Drosophila melanogaster: one gene and its partner. The protein of the gene in region 1 interacts with the protein of each later gene in a pairwise test. Each region holds a gene or a part of one and is shown on either strand. Other genes may lie near its edges.

Region 1 (6,770 bases):
GAAGCCTGTCAGCAGTTTTACGAACACTCCCAGCGCTTCAGCACAGCCCACGCTACGCCCGCACCCTTGAAAAAGCAGATCAATCCTTTTCTGCAACTACTTCACTTTGTGCTCAACGCGGCTGCCGTGAATGCATGGATCCTGTTACGACTTTCGCCCAAAGGCGATGCCGCTATGGATCAGCGCGACTTCCAGAGACAGTTGGGACTCTTCCTCACACAGCAGAGATTACAGCGACGCCTTCAGCGAAGATCCACCAGCACTTCGCTCGTGATGCGACTGCAAATCTGCGAAATCCTGGGCCAATCCAGTCAGCGGCTGCTCAGTGAGGCGACCGGCGAGGCGAAACTAACGCACAGCGTAGGCGTGCTAACACCCGACAAGATGAGCCTGCCCTTGGGCATTAATTTGGCTAGTCGGTACGGAGAGAAGCATCGCAGGTGCAAGCCCTGCGCTCGAAATAAGCGTGGCACTAAATCGCGGACGCGGTGCCAACAGTGCTTGCAACATCGATGCGGCAACCACTTGATATCCCGCTGCTACGAATGCGTCGGCATTTTGCCTGGCCAACTGCCCGAGGGCAACATGGTGGATGAAGGAGCCACCTGAAGATGGATATTAAATAACATTTATTGAAGAGACACTACATTCCTTGTGGGGGCTTGCAATATGGGGATGCTTGCAATATTGCTCAATGGTGCAAACACTTGTGCTGTAACTACGATGACAACGGCTTAACGATGGAAACTGGGGACTAGAACTTGTACTGGAAGGACTTGGGTGCCTTGTACTTGCTGGCCATTCCCGAAGAGTCCACAGGATCGCTCTGGTCGAGGAACAGACTGAGGAACTGTTCGTTCTGCAGCTCATTTAGCGGCATCTCTAATTCACTGCAGGATTTGACAATCTCAGCGCAGGCTCGCAGATCCTTGCGCATATCTAAAAACGAAACGGGAGTTACATAATATTCGGTTGTGTTGCACAGACTCACATTGATAGTTAAAGAGCAAGCTGAGGCAGCTGGAGCAGGCCAAACGCTGCTGGTGCTGCAAGAACGCCTCGATTAGCCGATGCACCGCATCAACATTGTTACGGGCCAGAAATGAAGAGCACAAAGAACTGGCTCTGCAAGGAAGGTTACATTGGGATTCAAATTTCGGGTTTTTAAAGAAATTAAAGCGACTTACCTCCTCTCCACTAGCTCTTGCAGCTCCTTGTAGTGCTCAAACAGTTCCGAAGCCGATTTTTGATCGCAAAACCAATCGCTAGCGAAGCATTGCTTCCACACACAGGCCACCACAAAGATGTCCTTGTGCTCGCGGTGAATGGCACGCGCTACCTCCAGCAGCGACACTAGCACCGCCTCACTCTTCTGGGCCAGAGTCTCCTCGGAAATGGTGCGGAATGCGGAGCGCGCCATCCGCCTGCCCTCCTCCGAAGTCATGCTTACCCCGTAACCGCGATGTAGCGTCATCAGGGCCACGTCGGCGTTACCATTGTTCCACAGGGCGATGGCGCGGAAGGGCGCCAGATCCGCGTAGGTCTGTGAGAACGGGTGCTCCAGCTGCCGACAGGTCTCCGCCAGTGCCTCCAACTGCTGGAGCTTGCGCTGCGCGCTCAAATACTTTAGACAGGACACGAAGACCTCGTTGGAGGGCAACAGGTTGCAGCGGATGCACTGACGTATCAGGTAGAGAAAGTCCAGCTTGTTCTTGATCTCCAACGTGGCCATCAGCAGGTTGTCCAGCTGCGCCTGCGACAGGGATCTGATATCCAGTCCCAGTTGGGGGGAGCGCAGCGCCTTCAGATCACTCATCATGCCCTTGGACATAAGACCCACGTTCTGGCTAAAGCTGGTACTACCAGCCTTTCGCTGCGTTCCCACATTGCAATTGGCGTCCGCCTCCAGATTTCCGGACGATGGCCTCTTTATCAGGCTATCGCGCAGCTCCTCCCACTTTTGGGTCTTTCTGGTCACCAAGTCGTTGGTGAAACAGTCCATGGGATCGAGATGTGTGGACTTCCGACGTTGCCGCTGCGTTCCCGGCCACAAGAAGGCCGAGATGTAGTTTTGGAAACGCTGCAGGCCCTTGGGTGAACCGGGTGCTCCGGCCACCGTGGTGGTGCCGCTGCTGGTCAATCGCGTCAGCATGGCCATGACTTGGGGTCACCTCCGCGTCCTCCGCTCTTCTAGACACGCCTCCTTTGCCCCGTTTTTGTCTCGGATTGTATAAGTTGTGTATATTTTTTGTTTTCAACAGTGTTACCGTCGCTGATCCGTGTGAAAATGCCATCGAGGAATACCATTATTACGAATCATAGCAAGTTGTTACTGAAATAAACTCAGATACTTTGTTTCACAAATGTTTAAAAATGGAATGCTGCATATAATTACAAACTTACTTTTAAGTAGAGTCATTTAAAAATCCATAAATTTGTATGTAAATTTAAAGTTACCCCTACGTGGCAGCTCCTGTTGCCTATAGTTGGCAACGCGAGTTCACCCAATCCAGCAGTCCGGCAACGCTTCCAGTTAGCCAAAAATTGATTTCATTTGCAAGAAAACTTTAAAACGCAAATGAAATGGCCAGCGATATTCCACCTTCAGCCATCCGTATTTGGATGGACAAGCTGAAAAAGGGCGTTGGGCAGCCGGCGACAGTCCTAGAGCGTTCCCTGCTCAATTTAATGAGTGCAGGTAAGTGAACCATTGAATGTCCAATCCATAACGTTTGTCTCAAACATCTAAAAATCCAACTTCAGAAGCAGCCAGTTTATCGGTGAAAAATGCCACGGAGCGAGGCATACTGGTGGCCAGAGCAGGCGGCGGACGGTCCAAGCGTCTGGCCCTCGCCTTTTGTCAAAAAGTAAGCCGGCTGCCCAGCTCACCAATTGATCCGTTCTGCTTCGAGTGCCATTTGCCCGGAGCCGTTAAGAAATGCATATCCTGCCATCGCTCCTTCCACGAGAATTGCCAGCGACAGGACCCGGAGAAGCCCAATTATTCAGTGCCCTCGGACAAGGGCCAACCTTACCAGTTTCCCGTCAACGAATTGGACAATCAGCCCCTGAATAACACTCAGAACTTGGAGACTCCCCAAACGCCAACGCCCCTGCTCGATCATAATAGCAACATCAATCAGACTTTGCTAGCCACTACGGATTTCCTGAAGCACGAGAACATCGAGTGGGACGACGACGTCTTCTTTGTGTGCGAACAAAAGGGCGCGCGCCAGCGAAAGCTGCCCAGGATCAAGGACGAACTACAAAGCAGTTTGGATAGCGATGAGGGAAGCGATCTGGAGCGCTGCACCCACTGCCGTTTGCTCGCCCTGGCCGCTCTCCACAACCCACCGCAACTCGACAAGCAAGAGCTGGGCTGCCTATTGAAGTACTCCTGGGACCAGCATCACTCCTGGATCTCCATGGATGTGGCCAAGTACATGGCCAAGCATTGGAACGAACGCGACAAGGCGCTGGTTAAGCGGCTACTCTTCAAGACAAAGATTTTGGGTCTGGGCGACATCGAGCGCAACATAGCGGCGGCGAAGTATACGTACCTAACAGAATTCCTAATGGATCTGCTCGATCTGCAGCACAACATGGCCGTGTTCTTTGGGCAAAAGAGCGTTGAGTACAATGCCACCAAGTGGCTGATGAGAGATGTGACGCACGACATTCGCGAAATCCGTCGTTGCCCCGACTGCTATAGGTATTCCAACGAGGCCAGCCTGTCGGATCTCTGGTTCGCCAAGCCATGTCTTCAGCGGCACGAGTTGGTATTTGCCAAGCAGGTGGGCTCACCACCGTGGCCTGCAAAGGTACGTACGATATTATCATTACTATGTAATATATACACATAAATATAATTTCTTTACCAGGTGATGAGCGTCTCCAAGCGTCAGCCCATCAAGTACGACGTCCGCTTCTTCGGTGGCACTCATTCCCGGGCCCTCATCTCAGAACGTGATATTACACCCATCGAGTCGGACATTCAGTCGCATATCAAACCACGGAACTCCCGAGCTCTGAGCGCTGCGATAAAAGAACTGCAGTGTCACATGATGTTGTCCCACTATTCCGCCTCGCTATTCGGCTTCCATGCAGATCCCACCGTTGCCGAGAATCTCATTAAGGTGGCTCTATCCCACTGCACGGAGTCAACGGAAACGAGTGCGTCCGGCAAACGAGGACGCCCGCCGACTCCAGCCACTCCCGGCGCTGCAAAGAATCGACGGCTTAATAACACCACTTCGAATACCTCATCGCCGGTGCCCATTCGTGGGATTCCTGACTCCGTAGCATATGATAGTCTAACCGCCGAAATACTGCAGGCGCATAACGATCTGCTAAATTGCCGAAGAGAGCTCTCGGCCACGCAAAGGAAGCTGGCCGAAGTGAAAAGGAAGCAATGGTGCTACCATTGCCTGGATGAGGCCGTTTTTAACTGCTGCTTTACTGCGTCCTACTGCAGCGTTGAATGCCAGCGACGTGATAAGAGACGCCACCAAGCATCCTGCAAAGTTACTCATTAAATTAGGACTACAGACGAAATTGGAAACTATGTCCAAAGTGATAACATCTCGTTTGTTACCATCCTTTTGTATCAAATGTATCCGTTCTTAAGATATGCATCAATATTTTCAGAAGATAAAGAATGTTAAACTTGTATTAATGAAAAATATTATCAATGAGATATTTGAAAATGGCGCCTTTTCCGTTCTTATGATGGGCAGCACTGTTTCCGCTAGGTGTCGCCACCTGATCATATTAATCCATATTCATATTACGTTTATAAAAAATCAGAAAAAACGTACAATACTTTAAAAGTGTGGGCGTGGAACTTACTTGTACTTGTTACTAACAATATAAAAACTTGTTTCCTACCAAAAAATATATACATATTTTATAAGAATGGGTATTATTTCGTGCCAGCTGTATTCATAATAATAAACACAAATTATTGTTCATCCACAATATTTTCGTGGCATACTTAAATAATTACAATTGAAACACATGGAAAACTTTAATGACAGTTTCTTTCTCGATAAAACCAATCGATTTTGAATAGTATCTCATTAAATTCATGGTTTTTAACTGCTCTAATTTTAAATGGTTTTATTCGATTTATCAATATTTAAACCATGAGCAAGATCTGTTTTCCCGCAGTCGTCTTGCACAGCCATACTTATAAAAAAGGTTCCCAATTTATCTATTTAAAAAAGTGCGCAAGAAACATATACCAAATAAGCGAATCACTAAAGTGAATAGTTAAGTTTATACCTTAAAAAGGAAACAAGAAAGCAAGTCAAAAGTATTATTATTTTAAAAAGAATCGAAGGCCTTTGTACTGTGTATAACTAAAAGGAAATAATGGCAATCAAGCTGAAATTGTGCGTCGCTTTTCAGTTGATTTGTATTTATTATCTCACAGAGGTAACGAATTATTATAACTGAAATGTCATATTTTAAAAGCTTCTTTTAGGTTTATTCCCTAGTGGAATTTACAAACGTACAGTGCGAGACCTTGGATAAGGACTTTTCCCTATTTGAATATTGCTATCTTTAATCTGTGAACCGATCTTACAAATATGTTTCCCTCAAAGTTAAACTACTAAAGATACCCGTAACCAAAATTAAGGTATAATTTAGTAAACTTATATTTATACCTAAGCGATTATAATAAGTTACTGTTTTTTAATTCAGGTGCAATTTGGTCTCTATAAACGTTTGAATGGCTATAAGCCTTTTCTCTACAATATGACTCTTGACGGGTGCAGATTTCTAAAATCTAGAAATCCCAATCCGATTGCTCTGTATTTTTACAATCTCTTTAAAGATTATTCCAACATAAACCACACCTGTCCTTATAACGTAAGTATACCCGAAGTTGTTAAAGTGAATATTCATATTACATTCATTTCAGCATGATCTTGTGCTGGATGAAATGTCATATCATAGTATAAATTACAAGCTCACCGAAATACTACCCTTTCCGGAGGGAAATTATAAGCTTGAAGTGCATTGGATAGCCTACGATATTGATCGCGCTATAACTACGTTTTATTTCGCATTTTCTTAATAAGAAAAGGCTATCACAAATCAATTAACAAGACATCAAAAAATAAAGTAATTTACAAGACGAGCTTAAGAAATAATGTAAATGTAAAACAAACTTTGTAAAACTGTTAAATTATTAAGCAACAACAAAATAATAGAAAGAGTCCGTCGACTAACACATACCCTATACTCAGCTAGCGGAAGTGCGAGCGAGAAATGAAAACATTTTTCTGGCATATCGATAAAAATTGTAAAAAGCAATAATGCATGATATTGAAAGAACATTTAAAAATTTGACAAAAGTGTGGGCGTTCTAATTTGTATGTGGGCGTGGTGGCGACATCTGGAAACAAACTCTATGTGATCTTTAGTTTCTGAGATCAAGGCTTTCATACGGACAAGGCGAACTCGACTCGGCTAGCAATCCACGAATCCATATACCTGTTACATACTTTGCAACGTATCTAGTATACCCCTTGACTCTACGAGTAACGGGTATAACTACGTAATGTTCATGCTACCATTATGGATAATTACGCTCTGGCAAACGTGTTAATGCCGGCAAACGAAGCTGCAGAGAGGCAAAAAGTTCAGCCGAAAGGTCAAATCGAATTTGCGGTCCGCTTAAAAGGGTTCAATGCATTTTACGAGTGCAAACGAGCATGTGAATGCATCGGATATCAGGCGGTTTGCCTTATGAATGCCGTTAA
Region 2 (8,063 bases), on another chromosome or scaffold:
TTCAAAGGTAACAACAATTAAGATTTACAACGAAAAATATTTTGTTTAGGGTCAGCATACCTTAATTTTCTCCCACTTGTCATCAACATCTTGCAGCCAGCTGAGGAGCAAACGTCCATTAAAGCGGCAACGAGCACTCTTTTCCTTTTCATCCTGCTCCGGTGTGATCATGTTGTAGACCTCGTCGTCCTTCAAATACGTGCAAACGGAATAGGGCGCCGGCTGTCCAGATATGCTCCTGGCCGCCTTCGAGTGAACGCGTATTATCTCCTGCTCAACGTTCATGCATAGTTTCTCCCGCTCCACGGTGTGCGCTTCGATCAGATCTCGCCTGGCCTTCTCCTGATCCTGATAGATCCTCTCCATGGCCTGCGGAACAGTGCGTGGAATATCCGGAACTGAGATCGTCGCATTGCGTCTTAATAAGTAGGATTTCTTTGTCAGCAGATACTCGTTGTAACCTTGCGGAGGTCTTGGCTTCACCGGATACAAGCTCTTCCACTTCTTTTCGATCTGACGACGGATGCTCAAGAACATCTGGAAGCCATTGGTGAAGGGATGGTCATGGGGGTGAGATTCTTCGGAGTTGACACCGGAATCCGCCGCATTTGAGTTCTTCGAACTGTCGTCGGTGTTTTTCGGTCGAATCTTTCGCTTCCGTGGATGGAGTTCCACGTTCGAGGGATTTATGTCCTTGGACGAGGATGTCGACGACGTCGACGGGCTTGGAACATTGGTGATTGCCTCCTGGTCAAACTGGTGGCCCTGCGGGATCGGACTAGATGTCATGTTGCTATAGGAGAGCTTCACATCTGCAGGATCGTTGGCATGATTCGATGACGCTGGCGATGGAGAGCTGCTCTGCATTTGCGGGGAGGAGTTATTGGAACTGCGCTCCACACTGGTCACTCCAGTGCGATGAGAGCTTCGCAGGACCCTCAGGTTCTTTTCGTCATTGAAGAGCTTTATATTCTTGTCATCGAGGGCTGTGGAGCAAATGCTATTGCTCTTCTGTGGACTTTCGTGCGGGCTAATAGATTGATTGGTTATGACGGTGTCAATGGAATCGCTATTGGAGCTGACCACATACGGCAGGGCGGCATTGCGAGAGGCAGTCACCTTGCCAGTTCGAAGCACATTGCCCTCAGTGTCGATTGAGCAGTTCTGCTGCGGAATCACAATTTTTAATGGCGGCACTTTGAGTCCTCCGTTGTATAGGCTGTCGTTACTCTTGTAATCATCGCTGCACTCCGTTTCGTTCTCAATATCTACATTCTTACTAGTCTCCGCCGGCTCCTTTTCGGCATTGGAAGCGCTGCTTTTGTTTCCTGACGGGGATCCCTTCGTTGCAGCTAGCTTGGAGCTTTTCTCCACGCGCGATGTGAGCTTCAGGGAGGCCCCCTTCACGTCCTTTCCATGCTCCGAATCCTTGCGCTTCTTTTTCTTTACGTCCTCGCCAGATTCCTCGTAGTCCTCCTCTATGTCTGAGTAGCAGCGCTTGGCAGCCGAAGTTCCCTGATGATTCGTATCGCTGGATTTACCATCGTTGCTGCTCTCCTCCGCTGAAGATTTGTCTTTCGTGTCCAGGACCTCTTGCTTCTCATTCAGGCTGCCCTCGTCAGTCTCTGCGTCTCCTTTCTTGCATTCATTCTTCTTTAAGGTGGTGCGGGATGAATCTGCAAGAACGAGAATCTTATACATTACATTTGACGGCTGTGTGATTTAGTTTGGAAGATCATGTAGGAAGTAAAATGAAAGCTTATTGTCTATCGGATATCTTTTCGGGTGGAATTTGTAGTTATGTTTGAAGGAAAACCAACTAAAATGATTTTGTGTGAAAACTAAGAACTTAAGCATCGTTAAATGAGTTGTTTTTAATTTTGGTTTCTAAAGTATTAGCTCGGATAAGAGACAGGGTTTTTTTGACATCTTTACACATATTTCTTCAATAATAATTGGTATCTTCATTTGAATCAGTTAAATGACAATTTATCCGCAATCGAAACCAGTTTCTCGGATACTTTTACATTATTCCTGACTCTCAGATACATTTATGTATGTACATACGTAGATATGTACATGCATAGATGTATATGCGTGTAAGTATGTACGCAGCGAAGTACCCACGATGTAAATTGAAATTCAAGCCGACGAGCAAAAGTTCTAAGCTTTGTGACTGAACTATAAAATCCACTTGAATCATGTGAAAAGTAGACATTCACTTAATTATTTTGCTTATTTACCTGTCGACGAGTTGGCTGTCATTTGGATGAGCAGAGCCATTTGCTGCCTCTCCGACATTGGCGTGTTTGAGTTCGATCTGGGTTGGGTAGCTCCTGTATTAAATCCTATCCCCTTCGGTCTTGGGGGTGGCATACTCTTTTGTTCAGTTTTAGACGGTAAAAATTAAAATATAGAACAAAAACGGAGACTTGAAAAAGTCTTGCAAAATTTATTACAAAAAGAATAGTGCGACCGTATCGTGAATACAAAAATATGCCAGCTTGCTAATATAATAACGATGTTTTCAAATCCATTAAGTTAACAACAAATTAATTTATATATTATGTGTACAAATTTCAAGATACACCTTTAATTAGTTCCAAAAATTAAATTTTTTATTGAACTAAATCAATACCTGCTCCACCAAGGTATGTGCGTTTGTTGACCTCCAACATGTTATAGATGCTTACAAATAGCATGTTGCGCATTATTACTTTTAACTACTACTTTATTTATACTACATCTTAGCTATTATACGAAGTCTTATTGTTAGTCTACCCGATTTTTTCAGGAATTTTCATTTCTTTAGTTAGTGTTTCGATTCCACTGCGTTCTCCTCCCGACAGTGTGACCACTACTGCACAGTTGAAGAAAATCCTAGCTTGTCAAACACAATTCAACGCCCCGGCTACGGTCACACTCAGTTTTATTTTAGAAGTTTTGCAGTGTAAGATATTTTTATAGCAAATCTACGCACTATTTCGCTTATTTGAGGAGTTTGCAGAGCAAAACCGCTGGTAATAAGTTACAATATTTGAATGCACTGCGCGATAACTTGCATAATCATTTCCAACTGGATTTCGAACGACAAAATCCATTCACCCACACACAAACACATCTACTTGAGCTTATCTGTGTATGTACATATGTTGCACATAAATATAAGTGACTGCCACTTGAAGAAAAGTTTTTTACTGGAAAATATGATTCGTTTTACATAAATAATCAAGTCTAGTTGGAAAAGTGCTCGGCGGCAGCTCGTGTGGCAAAGTAAACACAAATGGAGGCCTAAGGCCTAAGTAATCGTTTAGCATGATAAATACTAAATACAATCTCTTAATGCCACTAACTTTTATGTTTAAGTGTTCATAGATATTATGTACAAAAAGTGACTCACTTTTTAATACACTGGAATTAGTGAGCTGGGGTGTTGTAACCCCATTTGCAATATTTATAATCTGACTATTCCAATCACAATATTTGGCGATCTTGATTAAGAATAAAGCTATTTTCTCGAAAATCAACTTACAATCTCATTTTACGCAATCTAGATTTCCGATTCGAAAGGCAAATGACTAAAGAAAACTATAATTTTGAATATGTTAGGGTACTAATAGCTTCGGTCTCTAAAAAACTATACAATTTATTTTAGTTGATGTAAGCAGCTACTTTTGCCATTCGTTTTTTGTTTATTGCATGACGCCAAGTGTAATTAACTTTCGCCCATAATTATAACCATAATAAACGAACTAAATGGCCTTAAACACTTTTTAACGAAGTGTCATGTTTATGTAAATCACACCGGCAATGTTGATAAATAATAAATAAAAGAAAGTTTTCAAAGCACAGTATTCGATATAAATCGAATATGCTTCCACCATTAGTTTCCAATTAGAAAACATAATTGAATGAACTGGAATTTGTTTGGCTTAAAAGTAAATTGAAGTTAACTTAATCCAGAAAGTTGATCCCTTACTTTTAATAGTTTCTGTAGTTTCTAAAAGTTATTGTTACAGCGAATGTAATAGCGCGGGCATTTTCGATTATCAACCACCTTTTTTAACGTGCATGCGCACTGCGAATTTTCTTTTTCATCGTATTGATTAACGCAGCTAGAATCGTTTAATATACGGTTAAAATGATTGTCTCCAAAGCTATCAAATCATACAGGATGTAAAACACATCAAATACCTCGATTAACACCTTTTAATTTTGATATCATTCATGTTGTTACACTTTCAGATGTCAGAGGGTTGTAGGAGCACTTACTAATCTGTATTTTGTATGTGTTTTGTAGACAGAAAATTGAGAAAATCGGCAAAATGACGCAAATGTCGCAGGACGAAATCATAACCAATACGAAAACAGTCCTTCAAGGCCTCGAAGCCTTGCGAGTGGAGCATGTTTCGATTATGAACGGAATCGCCGAGGTGCAGAAGGACAATGAAAAGTCGGACATGCTGCGAAAGAACATCGAGAACATCGAACTGGGCCTCAGCGAGGCCCAGGTGATGATGGCCCTGACATCCCATCTGCAGAACATCGAGGCCGAGAAGCACAAGCTTAAGACACAGGTGCGCCGCCTCCACCAGGAGAACGCCTGGCTTCGCGACGAGCTGGCCAACACTCAGCAAAAGTTCCAGGCATCCGAGCAGCTGGTGGCCCAACTAGAGGAGGAGAAGAAGCACCTGGAGTTCATGGCGTCCGTGAAGAAGTACGACGAGAATCAGGAGCAGGACGACGCTTGCGACAAGTCCCGCACCGATCCCGTGGTCGAGCTATTCCCGGACGAGGAAAACGAGGACAGACACAACATGTCGCCCACTCCGCCCAGCCAGTTCGCCAACCAGACTTCCGGCTACGAGATTCCAGCGCGTCTCCGTACTCTGCACAACCTGGTCATTCAGTATGCATCGCAGGGAAGGTAAGTCATCATCCATGCATTTTATTTTACTCGTGAGCACTAAAGAAACCCCTTACCTACAACATCGTTATCTATCAATTCATCATTAACTATAATAGCCTAATATATTTCTAGATACGAGGTAGCCGTTCCCCTCTGCAAGCAAGCATTGGAAGATCTCGAAAGGACAAGTGGTCACGACCATCCCGATGTAGCAACCATGCTGAACATTTTGGCTCTCGTGTACCGCGATCAGGTGCGTCTACGCTTTGATTAACTTAATTTATACAATCGTTAATTAACAACATCTCGTGCCATACAGAACAAGTATAAGGAGGCCGCCAATTTACTCAACGACGCTCTGTCGATTCGAGGAAAGACACTGGGCGAGAACCATCCAGCCGTGGCGGCCACGTTGAACAACTTGGCCGTCCTCTATGGCAAACGTGGCAAGTACAAAGATGCCGAGCCACTGTGCAAGCGTGCCTTGGAGATCCGAGAGAAAGTCCTGGGAAAGGATCATCCCGATGTTGCCAAGCAACTTAACAATCTCGCCCTGCTCTGCCAGAATCAGGGCAAATACGACGAGGTTGAGAAGTACTACCAGCGAGCTCTCGACATCTACGAATCAAAGTTGGGTCCCGATGATCCCAACGTGGCCAAGACAAAGAATAATCTGGCCGGCTGCTATCTGAAGCAAGGTAGATACACCGAAGCTGAAATCCTCTATAAGCAGGTCTTGACGCGAGCCCACGAACGTGAGTTTGGAGCCATCGACAGCAAAAACAAGCCCATTTGGCAGGTAATGTTGTGTTGTTGTGCTGTTATGCCTGGTAAATACTCAAAAGTTCCTTTTCTTACTACAATTTTCAGGTGGCTGAGGAGCGTGAGGAGCACAAATTCGATAACAGGGAGAACACTCCATATGGCGAGTACGGCGGTTGGCATAAGGCCGCTAAAGTGGATTCGCCCACGGTCACAACCACTCTAAAAAATCTGGGAGCACTTTACCGACGTCAAGGCATGTTTGAAGCGGCCGAAACCCTGGAAGACTGTGCAATGCGGAGTAAAAAAGAAGCCTACGATCTAGCTAAACAAACGAAGCTCTCACAATTGCTAACGTCAAACGAAAAGCGACGATCGAAGGCAATTAAAGAGGATTTGGATTTCTCTGAGGAGGTGAGTTTCAAAATCGAATCACTTAACTTAATTAACTTAAATTAATCATTCCCATTTATTCTTGCAGAAGAATGCGAAACCATAAAAATATTATTTGTTCATCGCCCACAACGGAATCTTTAAGTTTATGATTGAAAGCTAACAGCAAACACACACTTTATTTATTCATTCCTTAATATACATAAGCTCTCAAGCATACATTAGCAAATAAACAACGTTTTATACCTTGTTATTTCAAAAAATATGTACCGCTTTTAATAATAAACCAAATATATTTAACATAATCCTGTTTGTATTTAAACCTTCAAAACTAAACCAAAAATACGGACCAGATATAGCACATTACAGTGGAATCAGCTTAACATTTATTATTGATAACAAACAGTACGATTAGTTTGCCTACGATAACTGAGTATCAGTTAGTCGCTATCATTGTCATTTAAAATCGAGGAAACTATGCCTGCAAACTGCTCAGCCCGATCCAGAAATTGTTCCCGAGTGAGACTCGTATCGTTACGTAGATTTTGCGCCGTGAGGAGTAAGTTTTCAAAGTCCTTCAGCTGACTATCCAGCTCGTCGGCACTGATTTCCTCCTTGTGATCTGCAAATCAATAGGACGAAATGGATTATTGGTTTCTCAACTCAAATCCTGGGCACTAACCAGAACCAAACTTGACATTGGACCAAACTACGTTTTTCAAACCCTCCACAACTTCCTCGTAGTCCTTTTCAGCTTCATCTGGGTCACTCTCAACATTGCTTCTCAATGTTATGATGTCAAAAAGGAAATTCGTTTTCTCCTTAATTTCTCCAAAGGACAATCCACCTTCTTCTGAAGTGGAAGAGGTTAGCAGAAAGCCCAGCTGAATCTGTTCATTCTTCGCTAACGTCTTGGGAATAGTGTCGATAAAGGAGGTCTGCAAGTAATTGTAATATAATAGATATACTATTATTGCTTTTATAAACACTTACGTCTTGTGAATCAAAGTAAATAATCAACGCCTCGGTTGCTTGAAGAATTTTCTCCGGCACAGCTTCCAGTTTTCCAGAAAATGGAATTAAGTTGATAGAAGTGTTATAGTACTTGGTTTTAATGATGCACTTATAACAATTAAGTGAGCACTCCGTTGATGTTGATTCCTTCGATTGATTCACTTCAGATAAAATATCTGCAACAAAATGGAACGTATAAACGTAGTAGTAAACGTATTTATGAATGGGTTTTTTTTTTAACAATCCTTTATACTCTTATAAAAATGCATTGTATGATTAGTATGCTGTATTCATACCAACAGAATAAAAACATTTAATTCGCCTGTATTACTCATAAATTTCAAATAAACAAAGCTGCAACAACGTGAAAATACTGGGACAACAAAAATAGGGCCTTTGAAGAACACTCTGTACTTTTTCAAGTAACTAATCTTACTTTCGACTATTTCCAGTGCAGGAACTGCTCCATAAGATAAAACAAGTACTACTGGATCCATTATATTGCAATTTCTTTATTTATTTCAGTCAACAAAAACAAAAGCTATGCACCAGTGTGACCAAGCTTCGAGAACGAAAAGTTCTGAACTCCAAATGAATAAAGCTTTGCTTTTACCGGCACTTTTTTAAAATGTTTTTTTTTTTTTAATAATTTACATATATATTAAAAAGGAGGGAACGCTTTATTTCAGTTTCCCGGCTATAGGATACCCCTTACTCAGCTGGTACGAAAGAAGAAAAGACTATTTTTTTAGATAGCTCACTAGCTCACTGGCGTTTATATTTATTGTCGATTGTGGTCGTTTTGGTGGGCGTGGTAATATAAATTAGAAAATATATGGGGAACCAGTTTCCATTCCAAATCAAGAAAACTGTACTCCTTCCCAAGTAAAATACCTAATTATGTACAATTTACTAGACTTTTCTTTAAATGGCAACATATTCATCATTATGTTTTGATATGCTAACTTATATTTACTGAATATTT

Evidence for each region.
Region 2: the proteins of CG8569 (region 1) and Klc interact in a two-hybrid assay, tested with the Drosophila melanogaster proteins (2 studies listed by BioGRID).

Annotation. Positions count from the first base shown.
Region 1 is NT_033778.4:12,516,650-12,523,419, forward strand, and holds CG8569 (uncharacterized protein), read left to right. Parts: upstream 1-2,516; 5' UTR 2,517-2,583; coding exon 2,584-2,698; intron 2,699-2,763; coding exon 2,764-3,821; intron 3,822-3,881; coding exon 3,882-4,535; 3' UTR 4,536-4,975; downstream 4,976-6,770. Other genes in the region: CG13151 (uncharacterized protein), read left to right, coding at 1-609; CG8818 (uncharacterized protein), read right to left, coding at 755-939, 992-1,125, 1,188-2,158.
Region 2 is NT_037436.4:12,744,920-12,752,982, reverse strand, and holds Klc (kinesin light chain), read left to right. Parts: upstream 1-2,926; 5' UTR 2,927-3,020; intron 3,021-3,143; exon of another isoform or gene 3,144-3,273; intron 3,274-4,084; exon of another isoform or gene 4,085-4,176; intron 4,177-4,300; 5' UTR 4,301-4,325; coding exon 4,326-4,927; intron 4,928-5,041; coding exon 5,042-5,162; intron 5,163-5,228; coding exon 5,229-5,708; intron 5,709-5,779; coding exon 5,780-6,085; intron 6,086-6,152; coding exon 6,153-6,170; 3' UTR 6,171-6,367; downstream 6,368-8,063. Other genes in the region: CG10984 (uncharacterized protein), read right to left, coding at 61-1,676, 2,128-2,181, 2,244-2,376; CG32109 (uncharacterized protein), read right to left, coding at 6,505-6,686, 6,747-7,002, 7,058-7,254, 7,515-7,575; CG32112 (uncharacterized protein), read right to left, coding at 8,051-8,063. UniProt on the Drosophila melanogaster protein: Kinesin is a microtubule-associated force-producing protein that may play a role in organelle transport. The light chain may function in coupling of cargo to the heavy chain or in the modulation of its ATPase activity.